6 linked regions of the Nothobranchius furzeri genome follow. The protein of the gene in region 4 interacts with the protein of the main gene of each other region in a pairwise test. Links are inferred from orthologs where the notes say so. Each region holds a gene or a part of one and is shown on either strand. Other genes may lie near its edges. The genes, in order: exoc7, traf3ip1, kxd1, ift20, nucleoporin p54 and washc3.

The links.
Region 1: the proteins of ift20 (region 4) and exoc7 interact in binary tests that used the Homo sapiens proteins (3 or more experiments, as listed by UniProt). The two-hybrid records come from large-scale screens. The link is inferred for Nothobranchius furzeri from reciprocal best matches to the Homo sapiens genes IFT20 and EXOC7.
Region 2: the proteins of ift20 (region 4) and traf3ip1 interact in a two-hybrid assay, tested with the Homo sapiens proteins (2 studies listed by IntAct). The link is inferred for Nothobranchius furzeri from reciprocal best matches to the Homo sapiens genes IFT20 and TRAF3IP1.
Region 3: the proteins of ift20 (region 4) and kxd1 interact in binary tests that used the Homo sapiens proteins (3 or more experiments, as listed by UniProt). The two-hybrid records come from large-scale screens. The link is inferred for Nothobranchius furzeri from reciprocal best matches to the Homo sapiens genes IFT20 and KXD1.
Region 5: the proteins of ift20 (region 4) and nucleoporin p54 interact in binary tests that used the Homo sapiens proteins (3 or more experiments, as listed by UniProt). The two-hybrid records come from large-scale screens. The link is inferred for Nothobranchius furzeri from reciprocal best matches to the Homo sapiens genes IFT20 and NUP54.
Region 6: the proteins of ift20 (region 4) and washc3 interact in binary tests that used the Homo sapiens proteins (3 or more experiments, as listed by UniProt). The two-hybrid records come from large-scale screens. The link is inferred for Nothobranchius furzeri from reciprocal best matches to the Homo sapiens genes IFT20 and WASHC3.

Annotation. Positions count from the first base shown.
Region 1 is NC_091756.1:53,828,735-53,832,234, reverse strand, and holds part of exoc7 (exocyst complex component 7), read left to right. Parts: intron 1-776; coding exon 777-999; intron 1,000-1,438; coding exon 1,439-1,606; intron 1,607-2,239; coding exon 2,240-2,251; intron 2,252-3,500. UniProt on the Homo sapiens protein: Component of the exocyst complex involved in the docking of exocytic vesicles with fusion sites on the plasma membrane.
Region 2 is NC_091754.1:2,499,749-2,503,852, reverse strand, and holds the start of traf3ip1 (TRAF3-interacting protein 1), read left to right. Parts: upstream 1-1,304; 5' UTR 1,305-1,403; coding exon 1,404-1,526; intron 1,527-3,080; coding exon 3,081-3,149; intron 3,150-3,771; coding exon 3,772-3,933; intron 3,934-4,104. Other genes in the region: agr1 (anterior gradient 1), read right to left, coding at 58-194, 626-729, 1,209-1,304.
Region 3 is NC_091744.1:73,270,766-73,274,960, reverse strand, and holds the start of kxd1 (kxDL motif-containing protein 1), read right to left. Parts: upstream 2,801-4,195; 5' UTR 2,653-2,800; intron 2,459-2,652; 5' UTR 2,446-2,458; coding exon 2,348-2,445; intron 2,208-2,347; coding exon 2,055-2,207; intron 1,977-2,054; coding exon 1,930-1,976; intron 442-1,929; coding exon 179-441; 3' UTR 1-178.
Region 4 is NC_091753.1:22,422,731-22,426,761, forward strand, and holds ift20 (intraflagellar transport protein 20 homolog), read right to left. Parts: upstream 2,801-4,031; 5' UTR 2,524-2,800; intron 2,092-2,523; 5' UTR 2,082-2,091; coding exon 1,955-2,081; intron 1,841-1,954; coding exon 1,755-1,840; intron 1,623-1,754; coding exon 1,519-1,622; intron 995-1,518; coding exon 913-994; 3' UTR 327-912; downstream 1-326. UniProt on the Homo sapiens protein: Part of intraflagellar transport (IFT) particles involved in ciliary process assembly. May play a role in the trafficking of ciliary membrane proteins from the Golgi complex to the cilium.
Region 5 is NC_091746.1:59,725,120-59,729,100, reverse strand, and holds the start of nucleoporin p54, read right to left. Parts: upstream 2,801-3,981; 5' UTR 2,588-2,800; coding exon 2,545-2,587; intron 2,130-2,544; coding exon 2,022-2,129; intron 1,874-2,021; coding exon 1,793-1,873; intron 1,645-1,792; coding exon 1,480-1,644; intron 1,116-1,479; coding exon 1,029-1,115; intron 112-1,028; coding exon 1-111. UniProt on the Homo sapiens protein: Component of the nuclear pore complex, a complex required for the trafficking across the nuclear membrane.
Region 6 is NC_091741.1:43,372,339-43,376,487, reverse strand, and holds the start of washc3 (WASH complex subunit 3), read left to right. Parts: upstream 1-1,349; 5' UTR 1,350-1,484; coding exon 1,485-1,535; intron 1,536-3,031; coding exon 3,032-3,130; intron 3,131-3,232; coding exon 3,233-3,298; intron 3,299-3,370; coding exon 3,371-3,508; intron 3,509-4,149. Other genes in the region: uncharacterized protein, read right to left, coding at 51-253, 974-1,007. UniProt on the Homo sapiens protein: Acts as a component of the WASH core complex that functions as a nucleation-promoting factor (NPF) at the surface of endosomes, where it recruits and activates the Arp2/3 complex to induce actin polymerization, playing a key role in the fission of tubules that serve as transport intermediates during endosome sorting.

The sequences.
Region 1 (3,500 bases), on a different chromosome or scaffold from region 4:
TATGGAGAAAAAAAGAAAAAAGAAAAAAAAAACACCGAAAAAGAAGCACAACAGCATGACCAGCCACATTACCGTCCTGGGTTAACCCTGTTTTCTTCATTCTTATACTTATTTAAAATTAGGTTTTTATATTTTACTTTAAACTGGTTTGTTTTTACTTTCTTTTATCTCTTCTGTTGGACTGTTCCATAATTTAACTCCTGCAATTGCAATTGACCTAGTTTTTAAAGTTGTTCTAGCACTTTGTATTTTTAAATTCAATTTCCCTCTTAAGTTATACCCACCTTCTCTTTGTTTGAACAATAAACAGATTTCTTTTGGAAGCAATTTATTTCTTACTTTATTTACAATTTAACACCAGCAGTGACTTTCCACTCCCATTATTACCTGTTCAAGTGAAAACATCAATAAAACGACTGAACAAGAACATAGTGACAATATAAATAACAGTAACCATCTATCATTTTAGTCATTTGTAATAATTTACATGAAAACAACTATTAGTATTTAAATTATTTATTTATTTTACATTTAATTGGGTTTTTGGGGCCCATTTCAGGACCACAAACTTGGTGTTTCACGACCCACAGTAAGGTCGCGACCCCAACTTTGAGAACCACCGTTTTACTGTTTGCACAAATTGACTAGGGCAGGGTACAGAGGATGTAATGGTCAGAGCTAAGAGTCGAAGCAAAGCTTAATATTGACAGTAAATCACATAATGGTACCTTTAACTTGTTCATTACGAGATAACAGCTTGGATATTATTTCTGCAGAAAGCTCGTTTTGAGAAGGGTAAAGAGCTGCTGGAGGCCGAATTTCGGAGCCTTCTGAACCGCTACAGTAAACCCGTCCCCCCAATTCTCATCCTGGACGTTATCAGTGTTGATGAAGACATGGAGCTGCAGGAGGAGGTGTTGCTAGAGCACCTGCCTGAGGCTGTCCTCCAGGATATCATCTGCATCGCCAGCTGGCTGGTGGAATATGGACGCAACCAGGGTATGACTAGTTTTAGAGGTGTCTTACGTCTCACTATTTATGAATATTTGGTCCTAAAACTTTTTGGGTTAAACCTGTGGAGTCCTCATCATTGTTTTGGTTCCATAAGTCCAACAAATTGTCTTCAGTCTCTGGGCAGATTTTACACACCAGCTGTTCCTGAAGGTTGATTTTCTTTTATGGTTCATTAATCACAGCTTCCAGGGTAATCATCATGCAATAGGAGGTGGTTCAGGTTGTAGTCCATAACCACCGGTAGGTGTGGGCCATGTCGGGACCAGGAGGAGACCATGGTGGAATCATTATTAGCTGAAATAGTTAAAATACAGAAAATACTTTTCCCCTTATAGAAGCCCATTATCTCTGAGCTAAGTGTTGTCAGACTGTGAGGTATTTAGACACTTCTCTCCCGAACCATCTCTTCTTCTCCTGTCTTCAGATTTCATGAACGTCTACTACCAGATCAGGTCCAGTCAGCTGGATCGCTCCATCAAAGGCCTGAAGGACCACTTCCGTAAGAACAGTGCCTCCTCTGGGATCCTCTACTCTCCTGCTGTCCAAACCAAACGGAAGGACACGCCCACCAAAAAGATTCCAAAGAGACCAGGTCAGCAGCAGATTCCTCTGAGCTTTTGTCTTCATGACCTTTACGCCTTTAGCTGGACCCAGCAAACAAGTCCGAACCTGTTAGATGTCAGAATCTGATTTCCATCCAGCCACGGTCCTCTGAGGATTTGTCAGAGACTCCCTGAGCTTCAGAGATCCTGTCTCTGGTTTTAAATATCTTAGGTGTGTTCTTGCTGTGCGTTATTTCTAATTCCATGTTGTCGTTCTTTTTAAAACACAGAACCAGTTTAGTTTACCTGTTTTGTAGCTACGTTTCGCCGACGGCTGCCGGCTTCTTCAGGCTGACGCTGATGGTGGCGCGTCACTTCCTTCTCCGTTTATCTGCGGGCTGCGCTGGACCACGCACGGGACTGCATCGTCGGAGAGGGGAGAGCGGGCAGTAGAGGGCGACAACATCCTCTGCTGCCCGCAGATAAACGGAGAAGGAAGTGACGCGCCACCATCAGCGTCAGCCTGAAGAAGCCGGCAGCCGTCGGCGAAACGTAGCTACAAAACAGGTAAACAAAACTGGTTCTGTGTTTGAAAAAGAACGACAACATGGGACCTGGTTTTAAATGTTCTAACCATCCTTCATCCTTTCCTCTTCATAATCCCTGTGTTCCGATGACATCAGTCTACATCCCAGGTAAATGCAAAGCTTCAGTGTGAGCACTGTGCTTCCTGCTGTCCGCCTGACGCCACGCTTCGCCTCCATGTCAGTTCGGTTTTCGCTCAGCTGTGTCTGACAGGTCGTTTTCAGCGTGAAGGCCTTTAGCTTCATGGTGTGGAAAATGTCTCATACCGAAAAGGTGAAGCTGATTAAAAGTAATGAGGCTCGTTGCTGTTCCAGACAAACACCCTGGAGTTCCGGCTCACTTTACGGAGACGGGATCCCTAACCCCCAAATTCCACTACCTCCGCTCCGGTCCGTCCCCGCCTTCCGCAGCCGCTCGCTTCCGAACTCAATTTTTCTTGGTACCCGCTCTACAACGGCTCCGCTCCGGTGCGGAGACCTGAGGTGGGCAAACAAGCGTGCGCAGGATTTTCGAGATCTTGCGATACAGTCCGAGCAATAAACGCGGAAGTTTAGATCCAAACACCCGTTGTGTGGGAGAAGCATCGACAAGAACTGCTTAATCTGCCCATCATTTGTGTTGAGAGATCAGCAGTGTTTGGATCAACAAAGTGTGACTACTTTGACAGTAGAAACTGTATTTATGGCTTACTTTTGTGCATTTAAACTTCAGCTGCCATTGATAGTTGTTAAAAGTTGTTAAACCTGTGCATATGAAACAAAAAACGCCTTTTGTTTATCGATTTATTGTGAAAAACGGAAGTTGTGCTTGCTCCTTTTCCTGTTGGGCGGTTGTGATTTCTGTCCATTTAATGCGGAGGTGCTCCGGCGTCCGGCAAAAATAGGATCGATTCTATTTTTGCCGGACGCCGGAACAGAGGGCGGCGCACGGCGCCGCACTGCTGGAGCACGGCCGCAGTAGTGGAATTGCTCTGATTGACTACAACGGGACCGATTTTGCTCCGGCGTTCGTGTCGGAGCGGAGCGGAGGTAGTGGAATTTGGGGGTAAAGGTCTTCTGCTGTGGAGGGTTTCAGTTTGTCTAGATTGGTTGTTGTAGTTTAAATCAGGAACCAGTTCTTGACATGTACTGGTGAAGAGGTTTGTGTGTCAAGGCGGTTCAGAAGCGTTTCTAACTATTGTTTATTCCTAGTCAAGCTGTGATGAAGTCTTGATAAAAAGTACATTGCTTAAACGTAACAGAATGTCAGTTGTTTAGCAGCCTGTTGTTGAATTAACTCACATTTAATGCAAACGTCTCAAAAAACATTTGATTAGCAAAATCCTGAGTGAAAGGAGCAACTTTCCAGACTTACTTCCTG
Region 2 (4,104 bases), on a different chromosome or scaffold from region 4:
CGGTCAATCTGACTGATGAATGATCAGAAACATGGAGGCTGAATGAGAGCGACCCACCTTTTGACAGAGATGGAGCCTTCTCCTTCTTCTTCTGTTCTTCTGCAGCGGCACAAGCGCCGATCAGCAGAGCAAACACAGCCCAGTGAAGCATCTCCTCGTCCTCTGGAGAACCAGACAGCTGAATAAGGCGTGCACTTTTAAAGCACAAAGCATTTTTTGAACTCTTACACCCGCAGAGCTCACTGAAGGGCTTCAGCTCTGAGTCACCAAACAAGTCTGACAGGCCGGCGCGATGATGCCGCGAAGGAAGCTTGTTTTATGTTACTATTATTTTTATATTTTATTTTATTATGGATGACATCATCACAGCTGTTTACTGTAATCAAAATAGGAATGAGTCTTAATGTATTAATGCAGCTTCTTATTTAATCTCAATCCAATGAACTATTGTACCTTTTTTTCTTTTTGAAAGAAACAGCATGTAACTTTGCAAGCCCTTACGTAGCATTAAATGGTTTAAGCATTACATTTCTATTCTGAAGAGCAGCGAACAACTTTCCAGCTGAAACTGAATCTGAATTTTCTGATTTTTGGCTACTGAAGTCACTCGTAGTGGATGTCTTACCTGTCCAGCGTGAAGCAGCAAGCGTCTGTTTGAGCTGTTCTTCTCACCTTACCTTTTGTCAGACTTTTAACCGAACTTGCCAAACGGGTAAAACAAGCATCCTGCTTTAAATGAAACACAAAGAAAGGTCTATGACTTATATGAGACATATTTGCATGCATGGGAAGTTTGGGCACACCTTCATACGATTTCATAATTCATACTTTCATAAATAAAATTCTTTGAAACACTGACTCTAAATGTAGTATTAGTGCTTGTTTAATAAATCCAGTTAGAAAATGCTTCATTAATCCCAGATGGAAATTAAGTGTTGTTGTGAATAAGGAAACAATAATAAAAACAATAAAATTTAGGTATCTATCTATCTATCTATCTATCTATCTATCTATCTATCTATCTATCTATCTATCTATCTATCTATCTATCTATCTATCTATCTATCTATCTATCATCTGTCTGTCTGTCTGTCGGCCTAATCTTTATTTATTTTTGTTCTTGTGAAGCACGTCGTGGTTTTTATCTGGAGATGCGCTGTATACACGATCGTTTTCCTTATTTCGTTTCTTTCTACATAGCTAGCTACCGTTGCTATGGACACAGAACACCTAGCAACCGAAAGCCTATGGCGCATGCGCAGCTTTCGTTCGCGGTGCACTGTGGGATTGTTGGATATTGACATAGCAACGGAGCCCCAGAGCCGCCTAGCATTCGTGTTTTAGACCAGTTTTCGCCCCTTTTCTAGCAGCTAAATTGTTCAGTTGGGATTTCATCTGCCGCCATGAACGCAGCGGTGGTGAAGAGGACTCAGGACACGCTGGGGAAAGTCATAAAGAAGCCGCCGTTAACGGAAAAACTGCTAAACAAACCGCCGTTTCGTTACCTTCACGACATCATCAGTGAGGTGAGACCGACTAAGGACAACAGTTACGTTTAAAGACATTTTATAAAGTTAAAAACTGTATATGAAGCCCTTGCGTGTGCTTTATTATCTGTGTCCATGAAAGGGATAGCTCTAACCGGACAACCCTCACCAGGAGCGAGTTAGCTTAACCGCAGCTGTTCAAAAGCGGTATCACTGCATTTCTCCTCTTCAGCACCCAGAGCGAACACGCGTTAAAGACAAGCAGCTGCTAACGTTCATTATTATGACTGTACATGTTTAGGTTGTACTTGCTTCACACCTGCTGCCGAGCAGCTGACCACAGCTGTCTTGTTGGATGCATAAGTTCTGCCTTTTTGTATTTAATGTACAGCAACATTTGATCGACATCTAGATGTTAGATGTTTACAAACGTAGGATTCACCAGTGTAAGTCGTAGGTCTGGATAAATATTAAAATTTGTATTTTATTTGTAGTATCAGCTCCAAATAATGACAGTGTAAATGTCAAAAAGTATTATTATTTCAATGATTGTCCCTTCTTAAGACAAAACTTACTCTTGTCTAAGTAGAAATGGCAGAACGAGGGTAAAACACAAAGGCAACATATTTTGTACATCAAACATTTTCCTGTTATCTTCTGGCAACTGACGTTTTCTGAATAAGGAAAATTTAGAATATTTAAGATTTTAAATAACCAAAAACCGGTTTAAAATACTATTTATTTGAATAATGTATCTACACAAGAATTAGAATCATAATATATTGTAGAGTGCAGTCTGTCGTACTGTTTGTGTTTGGGGCATCATTAGATGCTCTTATTTTGATGAGCCACTCTGCTGTTTTCCTGATTTATTTTTGACTGACGAGCATTTCCTAACTGAATGAGTATTTGTGCAGAAAAAGTGTGTTTTCATTATTTACCTAAATTATTTAGGTTATTATTCTTCCCATAACTGAGCATCTGTGTGTGTGATGTGTGTAGAACAATATGACGTCAGCTTCTTGTGTTAAACCCTTTTTCTGCTCATGTTTGTGTAAAAAATAAAATCGTACATTTGTGTTTGTGTACATGCTTAAGAAAGCAGAACGGGTATTCACAAACAGGATATATTAGCAAAATGTATATAACTGCATGAACTAAATAATACATAATATATAATGTAATTTTAAAAATATTTTCTTTAAAAGCATGTTTTTTTTACAATTAAACTCATATTTTAACTCTTTTCTTTAACAGATTAGAGACTAAATCTATTTTCTAAACAGAACTGAGATCTTATTCTCTCACCACACTGGTTGGATGGTTTTATGTTTCACTCTAGCTTTATTTATAATTAATTGAGGTTAGCATTCCTATAGCAATATTCTTTTATCTGACTAAAGGAATTCAGTTGTTTAAGACATACTTGATTGAAAATTAAAACATTTTGCAGCCATAAGTCTGCTTTAAGCTTGCTTCCATAAAATCAAAAACATTTTGTGTTAACTTGTATTAGAATGATGTAGGTTTTGCAGAAGCACCTATAATATTTGTATAATAACAGTAAACCTTTATTTTCCTCTTGACTCTAAGGTAATCAGGAGCACTGGTTTTTTGAAAGGCCTCTATGGAGAAAATGAAATGAAGTCAGATAGTGTAAAGGTAAGCTTACTCTTGCTATATTTACTTGATTTTTGACCTTTTTTTCCCCTGAAAAGACTAATTTGTTCAGGATTACCCCCGTGTGTTTTCACTGGGCAGCCTGAGTCACCAGATACGCCGTCTGGCAACACTGTGAGCTAGAAGATCTGGCAGGCAGAGACTGAGTGTTTGTCGAGGTGTCAGAATGCTAGTCTGCTATTTGCAAGGCGATCCTTGATTAGGACTGAATGAAAGAGAGCTACACCGAGTCTTCTCTGCTTACAAACGTAGCTGCACGCTGCCCGTTTCTTACTAGTGAGAGAAATGAGTTGTTAGTGTTGTGTTTTACATTTCCTCCCTCGAACAACGAGGTAACAAGCGGTTAAACCCAGTCACTCTGGGGGTAAGATTCATATTTCAGTTTCATCACTTCAGCTGTCAGGAGTGCAGAGAAGTCAGTTTGACCAACAAGTCCTCCTGGTCTTTGGTTTATCAGTTTACTGACCTGCTTTTGCACAAAACAAATGATGTCATCATTTCTTTTTGGTATGGAACCAATTTTATTTAGATTTTGCCTTTAATCAGTTTATATTTTAAATGTTTTTGTCTCGGTAACGGCTTTTTTCATTATATCTCATTCTAGGAAAAGGACTCAAAAATAACCTTTCTTCAGAAAGCGATAGATGTCGTGATGCTGGTGACCGGCGAGCCTCTGGCGGCCAAGCCCGCACGGATCGTTGCCGGCCATGAGCCGGAGAAAACCAACGAGCTGCTTCAGGCCATCGGCAAGTGCTGCCTCAATAAGGTCTGCATCACACACACACGCGCGCGCACACACACACGCACGCACACACACACACACACACACACACATGCACTCACACTCACACACACACACACACACACACACACACACACACACACACACACACGCGCGCGCACGCACACACACACACACACACACACACTCACACTC
Region 3 (4,195 bases), on a different chromosome or scaffold from region 4:
GAAAAATCAGTTTTTTCCTACAGAGTTTGTAGAGTTTGTGATCTTTAACAGATTAATAACAAGATAACAACAATTACAGAGGCCCGTGCTCACTGAAATACACAGCATTACCTGCTGCTCAATGACTTACTTTGAAGCCGTTTCGAGTGACTAAAATCTTTTTTGCAAATTGTTCACTCTATTCTTCATGTACAGAGTCAGGACCCTCATCTTGCAGAACTCCTGTCTCTAAGCCATCAGACGTTGGTGTGTCGGTAGGCTCCTGAGAGAGATCTTCTGAGCATCGGCTGACGGCGGGTGAAACCACATCGGGGCTTGTGTCACAGGAATCGGTGCTTTGCTCCGAGGTGGCCGCTGTGATTGTCGTGGCAAAACTTGGAGGTACTGGGTCAAATTCTTCATCATTATCATCATCATCCAAAATAGGTGACTCATGGACATCTGTCAAGTAAAAACCCGGATTTATTGAAATGGCTGTTGGAGATTTAGAAGAACAATGTTTTCTAAAAACTTTTCAACACAAACAAACTCCCTGTACCACCCAGAACTGCGCTGCTCTGTGTGGCTGCATGTTGGAGTAGCTCTGTTGACTATATGTAAGTTTTGCCTTTTCTTGGGCATTTTTTCTTCTAGTTTCTCAAGAAAAACTGTATTTTTTTTGGACACTTTACTTTTCTGTTTCTGGTGCTGTGAAGCTTGGAGGATTTTTACAGCTATTTTTTAGCTTTTTTCACTTTTTGAGCTTTGTTATGATGTGTAACCATGGCAACACACTGTTTACATTCGGGAGCAGCTGATTAACATTGGAAAGGCTGAAATAATACCTCAACTGAAGCCACAAATCCCAAATGAGCTAAAACGCAAGAAGCGTGGGTGCAGAGCGGGAGCAAAATGGAGACAGAGAAAGAGGAAATTCAAACCATCTCCTCCATCAATCATAATGGGCAATGTGAGATCACTGGCCAACACGATGGAGGAACTCCAAGCCCTTTCAAGGACTCAGCCAGAGTTTCGGCAGTTTCAGAGCCACTGGAGGAGATAATGCAAAGAAGGAATCTCCAGGAATCTCCAGAGAATCAAGAAAATGATGGACAACCCTGAGCATTCTCTTCACAAGACTGTCCGACAACAGAAGAGTGTCTTCAGTCAGAGGCTTCTTCAGTTTCGCTGCAACACTGACCGCTACTGGAGATCCTTCCTGCCAACAGCCATTGTAATATACAATAACTCTTTGATGACTTGATTATTATTATTATTCTGAGCTACTACAGCAATCAATTTCCCTCTGTGATTATGTTTATATTTATGTATTTAGCAGACGCTTTTGTCCAAAGCGACTTACAAGTGATAATCGGCATGTTGCCCTTGAGGCTAACAACAACAATAACAACAACTTGACATCAATCATGAAGAGGAAGGAACAAAGGAGTGGACAGTAGAGAGGGGGGACGGGTGCAGGGAAGGTGCTAGTTAAGAAGATGCTCTCTGAAGAGCAGGGTCTTCAGGAGTTTCTTGAAAATTGAAAAGCAAGCCCCTATTCTGGTAGTGCTTGGACAGCAGCTTCCTTTTCAATTTTCAAGAAACTCCTGAAGACCCCGCTCTTCAGAGAGCATCTTCTTAACTAGCACCTTCCCTGCACCCATCCCCCCTCTCTACCATGATGATTAATAAAGTAGTTGTGAATTGAATAGAAATCAAATTAGTTTCAATGTTTGTAACAATACTGTTTTATTGTATTTAGAAATAAATAAATCTACTACTTGATGCCAGAAAAACACTTTTAAAAGGCCATAAAAGAAGTAAATAAAAACAGAAATGTTAATAATTTATGCAGGTAACACTTACTGATTTCATTGATTGAAATCAACAGACTAATGAACTCATTACAAGTTGAGAATTGTTTTGGATAATAAGCAAATGTTAACTTACTGCTGAAAGCATCAGGGTATTGTTTAGAAATCTTCCCTTTTAATGTCCTGGAGGAAACAAAAGGAGATCAGTTATTAGAGGTTGGGCTGTGCGTCCCTGTTTGTGCAGGCAGAGTAATGACTAACCTGATTCTTCTGAAGATGCTATCCAGATCCTTCTTCATCTCAACCAGGGTGCGGGTGTGGTGCAGGAAGCGCTCGTTCATCTGCTGCAGTCGCACGTTTGACAGTCCATTAAAGTTGATCAGCATTTCATTGGTTTTCTCAAAGCGATCGAGCCTGATGAAACAAAGATTAGGCAGAAAATAACTATCATAATAGAAAAAAGGCAGAAACGTTACAACTGACATAAAAAAACAACTCAAATTTTTACACACAGTGTAATCAGGCCTCACAGACAAGAACAGCCTGATACTCACATGTGTCTTTGAGCTTGGATGATGGCATTCACATCTTCAGAGTTAACCATGCTCAGGATCCTGTTACAGAACACACTGGAGGCTGTGGGCTCCACCATGACGACGAAAAACCTGCATTTTCATAAACGAAACAACACGCACCAAATCAGGCATGGCAATACTTAAAGTTCTCTACAAATATTACGAGAGAAAAATGTTGCAAATCCACTAATCCAAATAATCGGCTGTTTTATTCACATCCGAGCGGTTTTTCTGCGCTAAAGGTAATACTACGTGAAAAATAAAGGAATAATATTATCATTTACCTCAACAGGTGTTGTTATCAACCTTGGTTTTCAACAGAACACTACATTTGACAGGCAAATTAAACAAAAACAAAACACTTCCGTGTATTTCTGTTTCTTCTGTTTACATGACTGTTTCTGGTTCATTTTCTTCTTCGGCGGGTATCTTTCAACTTTTGCGACTCATTGCCGCCACCTGCTGTATAATGGTGCACACAACTGGTCATTTTCTGGCATTTTCTAGCTCTTTCTGGGGGTGTTCTTGACTTTTCTAACCCCATTGAACTTTCTGGACTCTGGCCTTTTTTTTTTTTAGTTATAAATCCATCCACCAACATATTACCGTGAATTCGTTAAACAATTCATTTGAAATTGAGAGATATATTCAGTTATTTAGTCATCAAGTCAAGATGAATCTGTACAGTTCTATTTAACTTTATAAATACCAATTTAACATTTCATAAAACATGCTGATTTCCTCTTTTTGCCACATTTAGCTTTAACATTAATGTCCATTCTGCTTCTATCTTTGTTTTTGTTTTGTGTTTTTCCAACAAATCCGTAATTTTCAATTAGAAAATTCTCAAAAACATAAAACTGCTGAGCTGAGTTATTGAAAAGCTGTGATTGAAAAACAGATTTTGGTTGGCCTTCTAAGATTGAAAACGCCCTATATCCATTTCATATTAAATTTGTCTTGGGTTTTAAAAATGTAAAAACAAAAACAAATTTAAAAACTAAAATATCTTTATCTTTTTCCGGAATTGCGCCACTGTGGCTGCATATTGGAGTAGCTCTGTTGACTATATGTACGTTTTGCCTTTTCTTGGGCATTTTTTCTTCTAGTTTCTCAAGAAAAACTGTATTTTTTTGGACACTTTACTTTTCTGTTTCTGGTGCTGTGAAGCTTGGAGGATTTTTACTGCTATTTTTTTTTTTAGCATTTTTCACTTTTTGAGCATTTGTTATGATGCGTAACCATGGCAACGAGCTGTTTACAATCAGGAGCAGCTGATTAACATGGGAAAGGCTGAAATAATACCTCAACTGAAGCCACAAATCCCAAATGAACTAAAACGCAAGAAGCGTGGGTGCAGAGCGTGAGCAAAACGGAGACAGAGAAAGAGGAAATTCAAACCATCTCTTCCATCGATCATAATGGCCATTGTTAGATCACTGGCCAACACGATGGAGGAACTCCAAGCCCTTTCAAGGACTCAGCCAGGACTCCGCTAGAGGAGATAAAGCAAAGAAGGAATCTCCAGGAATCTCCAGAGAATCAAGAAAATGATGGACAACCCTGAGCATTCTCTTCACAAGACTGTCCGACAACGGAAGAGTGTCTTCAGTCAGAGGCTTCTTCAGTTTCACTGCAACACTGACCGCTACTGGAGATCCTTCCTGCCAACAGCCATTGTAATATACAATAACTCTTTGATGACTTGATTATTATTATTATCATTCTGAGCTACTACAGCAATCAATTTCCCTCTGGGATTAATGAAGTATTTTTGAATTGAATTGAAAAAGTAAAAATAATTTATTTTTTACATTCTAAATATCT
Region 4 (4,031 bases):
TTCCCTCTTTCCTATTCTCTCTTTACATTTTTAATCACAATTGTCTGTTTTTGCTGATTTTTAATCATTTTCTAAATTCTTTTACATTTTTTGTGAAGCGCCTCGTGATTTTTATCTTGAGGCACTTTAGAACAGATCTTTTCTTATTCTTCTAACAGCATGGGAACTAGCCTGGCAAGCCAGACTAAATAATCGTATTACTTATATTATTTGTTTGCACAATTCATTTATTATTTATTTGCAAACTTTGCAAAGCAAGAATTTGGTCTAGTTCACTAGGCTCCATGGGAACACCTCTGAGGAGTAAACAGCTCTCAGATTTAAAGCAACTTTTTGTTCTGTAGGTAAAAAAAAAAGAAAATCCTGGGAGTTTTACTAAAACCAAACATACATGTGAGATTAACCCACCAACCATCAAGACAGATTTATTCAATACACAGTATTCAAGTAAAACATCTGTAGGAATCTAAGAAAAGCTTGTGTTTATATCCGCAGGTCGGCTAGAACGGGCTTTCATAACAAGGAAACGTTTGAAACTTGCTAACAATCACATGCAGAATTCATGACAGTTCATAGAAAAAGTTACAAAACTAGATATACAGATTAATTTTCATCATGAAAAGTATTAATAATGCTGCTTCATATAAATAGATCTACATTTTTCTGTTGGACTTTGATATAGACACATCTGATGTTGAGCATTCAGCATGGCTGCTTTGATGTGTTGCAGACACACACACACACACACGCACACACGTCTGAGATCGGCGCCGCAGAAACGGGTGTTGAGGTTTCCTGATGACACTGAAGCTGGGTTTCAGATGACGAAGCTCCAGTAGGAGTGACTTAAAATGACAATCACTCTGGAAAGGCACTCAGAGGCTGAATGTATCGTTCTTTATTCGTGTTCTCTCACTTCTGCAGAATAAACTGGTCGATGAACTCGTTCTGTTCAGACTCCACTTTGGACAGGGCTTCGTACTCGATGCGATACCTGAAACACAACAGCAGCTCACAGGACGGGACCGACAGTTAGAACTTGGGGTAAATATGAAGGTCCACTTCACTACAGCTGACTCCCAGCACAATACTCCAGACCCCCATTCCTCTGCTGCTCCTGCCTCAGCTTCGCCGAGGAACAAATAAATAAAACAAGGCAGTAGAAAAAAGCCTTTTCAAGAACAACTGAATTAAGTAAAACACTGTGTGCTCCTGAAGCCTGTTCCATTTTATTACTAATGTTACATAAACAGGGCTTTTTACTGAGTTTGAGGCACAAATTTGATTATAGCATACAAAGTGGAACTAAAAAAAACTTCCTTCAGTCCTTCAAAATAATAGTCTCATCATTTACCTTAAAACATCTGAAGGTTAAAAACTATATTTTTCTACAAAACAAAAAAGTTCATCACTAAAGTATTTTAAAAGTACCCTTATAGGTGTTTATTGTTCTGAAGGTCACGTGTCCCTAAAGGGTCATGCTAACCCATCTGACACACGTGCACCGCGCTACTTTACCTCTCCAACTGCATCTTCTTCTCAGTGATCAGGGCCTGAAGCTGCTGCTGCTGGGCTTCTCTTTGTTTTGCCACAGACTTCAGCAAGTTTCTGGCTCCAATCGCCTACAGGACAGGATGATGAGTAATAAGTTCTGCTTACACATGATTAGAGCATAAACCCGATACCACTAAAAGTTTCACAGAATCAGGAGAGAAAACAGGGACATACAAAGCTGCTTTCTGTGTCAGACTTACCTTCATCTTCTCCGTTTCTGCTTCTTTTGCCAGTTCGTCCACCAGCTCGATTAGACCACCCACGGTCTTCTGAAACTGTCCAATTTCTGCAACAGAGGAGACAATTTTGCACACACTGTTGAGGCTGGTGATGATGAAAGGGAATAAATAGTTGGAAAAGTGTGGGGGTGGGGATGAGGACGTAAAATCTCCATGCTTACTGTCTACAAAGTCCTTGCACTCTTCTTTAAGCTCTGACGTCTTGTGGCTGACATCAGGCTCTAGCACCCGCAGCTTGTTCAGGTCATCAAAATAAAACCCTGCCTCTGCGAGTGGGTCTTTAGCCATGGCCAGAGGCCTGTCATCAACGACAGATGCAACTTAGTTTAGTAATATCAGATAGTTTGTAGGATAATATACCTAACAGGTAACACCCCATTATCATCATAATACACACAAGAGCAGGTTCAAAACAAACAGAAGTAAAACACATTATTTTACTAAAGATGTTCAAGTGCAAACCTTTCGGTAAAGCAGGATTCCTTCTACTCTAGTGCTTAAATTAACAGCACCTTAAATTAACCTCGGCTGAATGAAAGTTCATGTGTCACCAAATGAAAGATTATGCTTTTATTTTGTTTCGGTCATGTTAAGAACTCCCCAGCTAGATGATTTAAGTTAGCTAGCATAGCTAGATGTTTCAAAAATGCCACAAATTGTTTTCTGTCACCACTTCATAATAGATGACCAGTTTTTATGAAGATAAGAAACACAAATGTGTATGTTTTACCTGTTACAGTCGTGAGCTGATAGGCTTTATCCCGTGTGATGTGGCAGAGCAGATGAACTAGCAGCTAAGCTCCTCCTGTCGCTGCCAAGGAAACCAAACAGCTACAGCTGTGTCGGGGTCTTTGGGGGTGGTCGTTTTCCCCTATCCTTCTTAATTATCATAACAAAACTATTCACTGTTTCGTTACAACGCTGTCCCCTATGTTTTTTCCGTTTGAATACTTTACCGGTGTGTTACGTCAACATGAGTTCCTCTAGGGTGGGTGGAGGACTCGTATCGAGGTAACACCGGAGAACGGGAGTGACATGTTTATCGTAATGTTTTTAGAACTGTGACCAAGTCAGTCGCTCAGTGACATAAATGATCTAAAATTTAAATCTAAAAAAAAAAATTAAATAAAAAAAAAGCCCAACTATATGTTGTTTCTCTTATCTACTGTGGGTGTTCCACCCCAATGCGGAAGGTGACGGTAATGAACCGAAAAAGCAGTTCGCTAACAGCCATTCCAGAAAAAGAACAAGAAACGGATACGTCTGTTTTGTTTTCTTTCTTTTTTAAAATCATTTAAAACTCCATTTGTTTATTGTTGTTGTAAATATTACTTAAAATCATAAAAAAGAGGACGGTGAGTAACTAAAGCTTACAGACTCATACCGTGTTTAGGATCAACTGTAGGATCCAGTTTGGCCATTTTTTACTTTTCCTTAGTTTATTGAAGTTTTACCTCGTGATCACGAATATTCAGGAGTTAGTTTTCCGTTTACTAGAAATGCATTTAATGCAAACAGCGATATCGTTTCAGTGCGTTCAGCTTCTAATATTTGATCTGTTGTTTATCTGCTTTTCTGAGTTTTTGGCTAATGTTAGCGGGACATGCTAACAAGATACAGTAAAACGAATAAACATACAGCATAAAAGCTTTAGTTTCCACTGACCTGTGCTATTCTGAACTGAAACTGTATATCAGAGTTAACACGCATGTGAAACTAAATATTGTGTTTACACGGAGTTTAGTTATCATCACCTAACCTAACTGTTACTGGGCCCCAAACTATTTTTTTATCGGAATTTTTTAGCAGCCACACAACTTTAACCAGAAAGCAGCAGCTTCCATCTTAAGCTAAACTGATTGTTTTGGGACAAGAGTAAATGAAAAACTCCCTACTGGAGCCTCATAGGTGTTTTGGATCTGTTGGACTTCAGATAAACTGGTGCACCATCTATCTGAGACGGAAACAGGAAGTACACAGTACGATGTCCTCTGAAAATGACTACAACCGCATTACCAAATAATCTCTCAAAAATAAACATTAAACTTTGACGTATTCGTTTAAATAACAACTAAGGTATTTTATCAAGTGCTTTTAACTGAGAATGATACAAATAGTTATGAATCACAGGAGCTATTAGATGTTTAAAGTGTAACAGAAAGAGAATTTTAAAGTGTTTGGTTGTTTTATTAAACACTTTGTGTTCTTTAAGGTTCAAACACCTCCTGTAGACCATGT
Region 5 (3,981 bases), on a different chromosome or scaffold from region 4:
ATCCAGTTGCTCCTAATCCAGTTCCAAACCCTGATGTTCCAGTAGCGGTACCGGTTCCCAGTCCTGCTGGGAATCCAAACCCTTTGTTGGCTGTGTTCCCAAACAGGCCTCCTAAGACAAAACGCATTCAAAAGCAACAAATTAAAACCCAAAAAAGAAAAGATGCTGTCAGCTCTGCAGAAGGAACACAGCAACAAGGAGAGCCCCGTGTTTTGGTAAAGTGAGACATCTTGTAGCAGCTCAGTGTTCATGCTAGAACAAGAATATAGCATCATAGAACCTGCTGTTTTGGTTGTTTATTTGGGATAAAATAGTAACTTGAACTGGTGTTAATAGGACATCACCTGCATCTTACACATGTTCTTAAACATTCATTTGTGATTTTATAGTAAATAAACTGAAATGGTAATTGGCATTTCTGTGTCAGAGGACTCGAAAGTGCTTCCACGAAGAACAGTCATTCACACGCTGGAAGTAGACCGGACTGGAAGTAAATGGGCGTGGCTTAGGCTCTCTACTGCTGTTTATTACATTTCCGCTGGTCCGTCCCCTAAAGTGTACGAATGGTACGTGCAACTTTTATGTTCCTGCCGTGCTTAGCAGCTGTTTTTAGGCATTTCATTATATATTTTTTTTATATATTTATAAATTGTTATTGAATTGGCAAGTGTCACAGTGCAATCGATTGATTAAATGGTGAATCTGCTCACCATTACTGATTAGCAGACGAGAAGTGTCATCTCATGCAATTCCCAAACTGGAAACCTAACCTGCTCTGGAGAATCAGCAGGGTCTCAGTAAAAATATCTTGTAAAGGCATGAGACCTCTAACGGTCAATCACCACTTTGACTACTAGTAGCAGTATTCACCAGCACCTTCAGAGTAACATGTAAAGCTGGGGGGTGGTTCCATCAATATATATTTTTTATATTCAAGTTAGTCCAAATTCTTCCTAATGTCGCCACGCACAGCTTTAATATTTATTTTGCTCTAAATGTGTACTCACAGAGGTTACTCTGTTACTAACCTGTTGTATTGGAGGGGGTAGTAAAGCTGAAAGTGGACCCCGGTGCAGCAGCTGTTGTTGTCGTTGCCCCAAAGCCACCAAATGTACCTGGAAAGGAAATCAAAGAATAATCCCTCCAATGAAAGGAGTTAAAGGGAAAGGAGATGAGAGAACAAGAGTTGGAAATCACTGGGTGCATGGTGAGTAGCAGAAAAGTATTTCTGGCAATGATCAAATGACATCCATCAAACATGATGTTCTGCAAAAAATGTACTGAATGTCCACATTCATCATCACACAAGATGAGAGCATAGTTTAACACAGTCTTTCATGCAAAAACAGTGAAACTTCAGAACATAGATGTATAAGAGTCACCAGGTGAGATGGAGAAAGAAAAACACTGCATCACATGGAGGTGGACACAAACGATTTTTGCAAACACAAAATGAACTCGATCACAGAGATCATCTACCTGTGCTAGTCAGGCTATTACCAAAATTGAAAATAGTGCCAGTAGTGGTTGCTGTACCAAAGCACCCTGCATTAAAGCTGATTGCTGCTGGGTTGGCATTTAAACCAAACCCCCCAAAACTAAACCCGCCAGCCATGGTGCTTCCAGCTCCAAGCCCCCCAAATCCTGTAGCCGAAGCAGGCAGGCAGCAAGAAGAAAGTAACACGGAGTTAAATGACACAATGCTACATTTGGCACCAGCTCTTCAGTGAGTTAATCGTCTAAAAATCAACAAAACGAATGAAACGCGCTTTAAAACTAATGTTTGTCCTACCCGTGTTGGTGGAGCCAAAGCTAAATCCTGTAGCGGGTGCAGAAGTGGAGGTGACAGTCCCAAAACCAGGAGCTGTTAGAGCTTTTTCACACACACACACACACACACACACACACACACACACACACACACACACACACACACACACACACACACACACACACACACGAATGAAAGCCAAAACAAAACACAGAAGACCTCTTGAATGTGGGTCAGGAGCGTGACTTACTGCCAAACCCTGAAGAAGCGGTGGTCGTGGTGGCCGTGGGGTTGAATCCAAACGTGGTTGATGCCGTCGTCTTGGCACCAAATGCGCCGAATGAGAACCCGGGCGCGCCTTTAAAAGAACATAAACGAGTCTTTAAATGTTGGATTACATCTCTACTGTATCCTTCGATGCTTTTCTGAAAACTTCATACAGTAGCTAACTAGTAGCTGATTCGTAGCATGACGCTAACATGGGGAGGCTTTACTGCTAAAGGTAGATGACCAAGTAATCTGTCCCGCATCTGAATACGTAACAAACTAGTTATGACTTTAACTTAAAACGTGGAACACAACCCACTGAAGTTTGCTGCATTGGCCGGATTGTGAGATTACATGATGCTTCAACAGCAGTTAGCTTGCGACACGTACTAACTACATATGCTAGTAATGCGTTCATATCCTTGTGGCGTCTGGTTTATGACACATATCCGACACAGCTTTCGCTAAGAGAAAGAATACAAAGTAGAGGTAACTAAAGTCCATACTTGCTTCTGTATTGCTCGTGGCGCCGCCAAAACTAAACGCCATGTTGGCGAATGTCAGTTCTTCTTCGTCGCTTCTTTTCTTCTTCTCCTGTTTGATGTTTTATGCCAGTTGGCGACCAACGTCGTGCCACATTACTGCCACCAACTGGCACGGAGTGTGGACTGGTTAGTACACATGTGTGCGTTTTCCTACATAATCAATCAATCAAAGCTTTAATTATAAAGCGCCTTCCACGACCCTGTCAGGAAGCCAAAGGCGCTGAAACTAGAGTTAGTCTAATCGTTTCTGTATTTCTCAACACATCGTTCATACTCATAGACTGTTCATACTTCAACAAAGCAACGCTCTTCCGCCACCTAGTGTCCGGATTTTAACATTGTTCAGCTTTAATTTGATCAACTTTATAGTACAAATAAAAACACGACGAGCTATTATGTTCGAAAAAAGAAAACAGTCATATTTCAATGAATGAGCATACATAAAAATAAGCACAAGAAAATAAAGTATTAGAGGAAGTGCTTACATTCTAAATAATATAAAGGGAATCTCCAATTATTAGAAGCTTTTGAGGTTTATTAGTCCTTGAAGAGCCATGAACCGTATATTATTATTATTATTATTATTATTATTATTATTATTATCCATACAAACTATACATACATTTTATTATAAATTACCTTTGGTAACACAGAATCATTCATGAGTTTAGTTTGAGTACAAAAGAATTAGCAAGCCACCCTATATCCTTTTGCTTGTGCTACAGTCGATCTAGATTTCTGGGCTATTACATGAATGCAAACATACACACATGAAATAAAAAATATTCTGAATTGTTTTACAAAAGACAAGACTCATTCATTTATATAGCTTGCCATCTTTTCAAGTATTAGTAGAGCCAACAGATGAGCTTATAGACAGTTCTAACGAGAAACAGGCTTCAACACAAGCAGGTGTTTTCCGCTTGGTCCTAGTGCTCAACCAGTGCCAATTTAATGTAGCGTAATATTGTTTGTGGATGGTAAAAAGTGCAGGGGACAAAAATTGACTTTTGAAAAAGTGGGGGGACATCTTCCCCCTCCCCCCTCCAAAAAAAAAACTAAGTCCATGTATGGGTGAATTTATATTTGCTGCTGCTATGCAAGTATGGCAAAGATATTTACAAATAAAAACGAATAGAATATTATGTAAACTTGAAACTTATCGTAACGCTTGTCAAAGTTACAGATTTTGGAGGTTTCATCCTTGCTCCCGTGTCTGCAGCTAATCTCCTGTATTTTAATTCCCTCTGCACTCACATCTTATTCACCAAACTCAGAGGCAAACACAGAACTACTGAAACTACTTTTTTATTTTGTGTACAGAGTAAAAACAACAAGATGCAACATTTCATAGCAAGCAGACACTCAGGACACGTGTTTGTAGCAGTAACAATCAAT
Region 6 (4,149 bases), on a different chromosome or scaffold from region 4:
CTGAGACACCAAAACAAGAACGTTTGCATGTGAAACAAAACACCATTCACCCTGGCCTTCAATCCGAGAAGGAGATGCGCTCTCTGTCTGTGGTTGATCAAACCAGGAACTGCTTCTGTCAGCATGGACACAAACTCCTGCAGCTTCCCATAGTTCATCACATCTTTCCCCTTCATCAGATTCCACATAGCAGCAGACAGAAGATGCAAGGGAGGCACCAGGAGGCGAAAGGAGGGCAAAGGGAAGTTTGGGTCTGAAACATTAATGTGTAAAGTCAGAAATGACCGATGGAGGGCAGTAACACACCCCCTAATTCAGAGAGCATTCAGAGTACTTGCAGGAAACAGCAGGTGGATAAAATTTTCACGATGTGATTTTGCAAAGTTCTCACATTTTACACATAACTGAAACAGTTATTGGCTTCATACAGATAATTAAAAACAATCAAGCAATAAAACAATCACGTGATCTGTTACATTGTTGTCTGTCATTTGCTTGCTTGCTTGCTAAAGTCACTGAGACCAGTCAGTGACTGGATGCAGTTTGCTGGGTTCCTTATATAGGAAACTTTTTTTCCTGATTGGCTTAATGAACTGACCTGTATTGGAATGTTAACTATGTGAAGTGCCTCGAGACGACTCTTGTCGTGATTTGGCGCTGTATAAATAAACTTGAATTGAATTTGAGCTACAGGCTTTTGAACTGGAGAAAATCCTGGACAGATCTTTAACATTTTAGATACACAATCTGGAAAATGTCCACAGATGTTACTCAAAAGCTTCGCAACTTAGTTAAAACAATATATCGCGTAAGAGTGTCTGTACATTTAACAGCAAGCTAACTTCCACTGCGCAACAACAACAGTCTGCCAAATAATGAACATTGTGGTTCCTTTAAATAGACAGAGCCCACTGATAGTAAAACAAACACGTCTCCAGAAAATATCAGAAAGGCAAACTGGTAACATACATACCCTCCATTTTTTCTTTTGATTCCACAACTTCCATTAAAGCATCCCACCAAGTGAATTTGAGGAATCTGTGTATATTTGTGCTGTTTGTTTTGGTGGCTAATGCGCTATTAGAGCGCAAGCATCGCTTCCTCAAGTATTCACTCAAGTTTCCGCTTTTCAAAATATATGTCTGAAAGACGTGTTTTGGTGTTTTCTAATGAATTTCAGAATGCTATTATTTTCAAGTTCTTTTTTACTTCAAAGCCAATGACTAGATAAAGAAAAAGTTTAGAAAATTTCGACAGCTCGAAATATAAAAGTGTGAATTCGAGTGCATTGATGCCTCTTCAAAATAAAAGTTAATCATTTCCTTTTCCTAGAGTGACGTAATCACGTAGCCAGTCACACTGCTCAGTGTCACGTGAAGCCTTCAACGGTGTAAATGTTTTGTTTCATGTCATTTTTTCTTTCAAATTTCGTGCCATTAGACCTGAAACCACATTCCTATTCACAGGAAGTGTAAAACGCTAACATGGACGAGGACGGCCTGCCGTTAGTCGGGTCAGGAGTCGATCTTACGAAGGTTTGTGTTTCTAACTGGTTAGCTAACACTGAAAACCTGAGAACCCAAAGCTATGTTTGTGCTTTTTAACAAAATATATAATCACTAATGCAGAGAAAACTGTGGCCTTTTTCTAACTAATTTCACCTACTTGTAACTGTTTGCCTAGTCATTTTCCTTTTGGTTTGTTCTAAAGAAGTATCAAAAGAGGAAAGAACGTTTTCTCTCCGAACACTGATGTTCTATTTGAATACATCATTCATTAGATTCTATTACCGGTGTTGTGCCGAAAAGAGCTTGTCTGCGAAAATGTGCATCCCCTGCGGGAAGGCGCGTATGAGACCGCTTTTTAATAAATGTGTACAACATGAGCTGCATCCTTCCTTACAAAATGATGGTTTATGAGCAAATAAGTAAAATAAACTACTGTTTATAACATGTTTTATTTTAAGTAATATAATGCACATATAAAAGGTTAGTCATTTTGAGTCTGCTTTTTTAAACCAACAAAATTGTTTAATACTTGCTAAAACATTAGTGTCAAACGTGTTGAAAAAGGTCAATTATTTAATCATTATTTCATCATATTTGTAGTCAAAAACAAAATCTTTTCAGGAGAAACACGGATTAGAAACGTGTTCAAATTCTGAATTGCTCATAATTCAAATTCTTCTTCAATTTGCGTCTTTCGACGGGGATACACATTTCGGTAGGCGTGCTCTTTTCGGCACAACACCTGATATACAGTAGTCTGTTATTCCAAATGTTTTTCCTCCACACCGATTTGCATCCATTATATGCAAAGTCAGACATGTGGGTAGAGTAGCCAGAGATTATACTCAAATAAGAGTAGCATTACTTTCATATATGTTTACTTGAGTAGTTAAAAAAAAGTACAAAAACTGTGTTTGCAAAAAAGCTGCTCAAATAATGAGTAATCATAACAGCTCCTTTAATTTATAAAATCCATTCAAACAGATAATAGTATAATGTTATATGATAAATTATATAATGTAAAGACTTAATTAAAATGTTGCATTTCTTTTTCCTAAAAATACTCAAGTAAATATAATTAGTAACTACCCAACACAGAAAATCAGATTTGATAGTTTTCATCATTCTTTTTGCCATTAGCATTTTGTTTGATGCAAGACTTTAAAGGTAGAACTCAGCTGCTTTTAAAATTCTCTCAAATACTTGAAACTTTGCAATAATCCACAGGTTACTGTATGTTATTGTGTTGTTTAAATAACACTGCTAACACATGACCCTGGTCTGTTTATGTAGATGTTGTTTATTCTCCCTGGTGTTAATTGTTGTTTTGTACTGCTTTGTTTCAATAAAGATTTACAAAAAACATTTTAACAGCAGTAGTTAAAAGTCATTTTAGAATCCCCTCAATATTATTTAAAGCCATAACATTCAAAAATCAATTATACTAGAGGTTTATGTTTAGTAAAATAAACTATAGTAACACTTGGTAAGTTTTTAATTATACTGCTTTTATCTTTTCTCAGGTTCCTGCAATACAGCAGAGACGAATCGTTGGATTTCTCAACCAGTTTGTTGTGCACACCGTACGATTTCTTAACCAGTTTTCCACCGTGTGTGAAGAGGTTTGTGTTTGTTTGTTTGTTTTTTACTCCTTAATGCTTCTTCTGCCTCAGAATATGAACTCAAATTATGTATTTATTTATTTTTTTTACTTCTCTTCACAGAAACTTGCAAACATTTCTCTTCGCATACAGCAGATTGAAACCACACTCAGCATTTTAGAGGCTAAGGTAACTTGTGAGACCTTGATACCGTTTCTGGATGTTGTCTTTTCACTTATGCAGTGACATTGTTCTGAGCAGCTGTCCTCTATTCCTGGACTGGAGGACGTCACAGTAGAGGGCCTCAACCAACAGCAGGCCTCCCACACTAAAGGACCCAGTACTATCGGTCAGAACCTAACTAACGGTGTAGCAGCAGGACCACCTTCTTCCTCAGAGGTAGGAGTTCAGACCCACCTGCAACAGACATGCAGGTTCAATCGGCCACGATGAATGCCAAAACAGTCTTTGTGTCTTTTTTCTTGTTTGGGAGTCTGTGATGCCAAAAATCGGCAGTTGAACTTTTCTTTTTAAGTCGGAATGTAGATTGTCATCAGCTCTTTGGTCGATGCAACAAGTAGAAACCTGCCGTCAACGCAACTGTTGTTTTGTTTTCTTTTGGAGTTTACGTACAAAAAAGGCTCAACATTCCCCTCCTGTTGTAAAGGATAGACTTTTAGTTTTGAGAACCTTCAAAGAAGTATGTTTGTTACTGGCTGCTTTGTTTGCATAGTGATCGGATTGGATTTTGATTGTCCTCCTCACACTCTGACAGGATTGTAAAATCCTATCCAGAAGTGTGACGTTACATATTTACAGTGAGAAAGGTGGAAAACCTTCAGGGCAGATTTCCTGAGTCTGCAGCACAGAGTTCAGGCCGAGGTCAGTAAACAAGCCATCACTTTTGGTTAAAACAGTGCACCAGGTCAGCTCAAACACCTCCTGTCCTCTGTAAAGCACGGTGGCAGGGGGCTGATGATTTGGGCTTATTTCTGCAGTGACTGAGTCAAACATGAACTCCTCTTTACACCAAAGTGGTC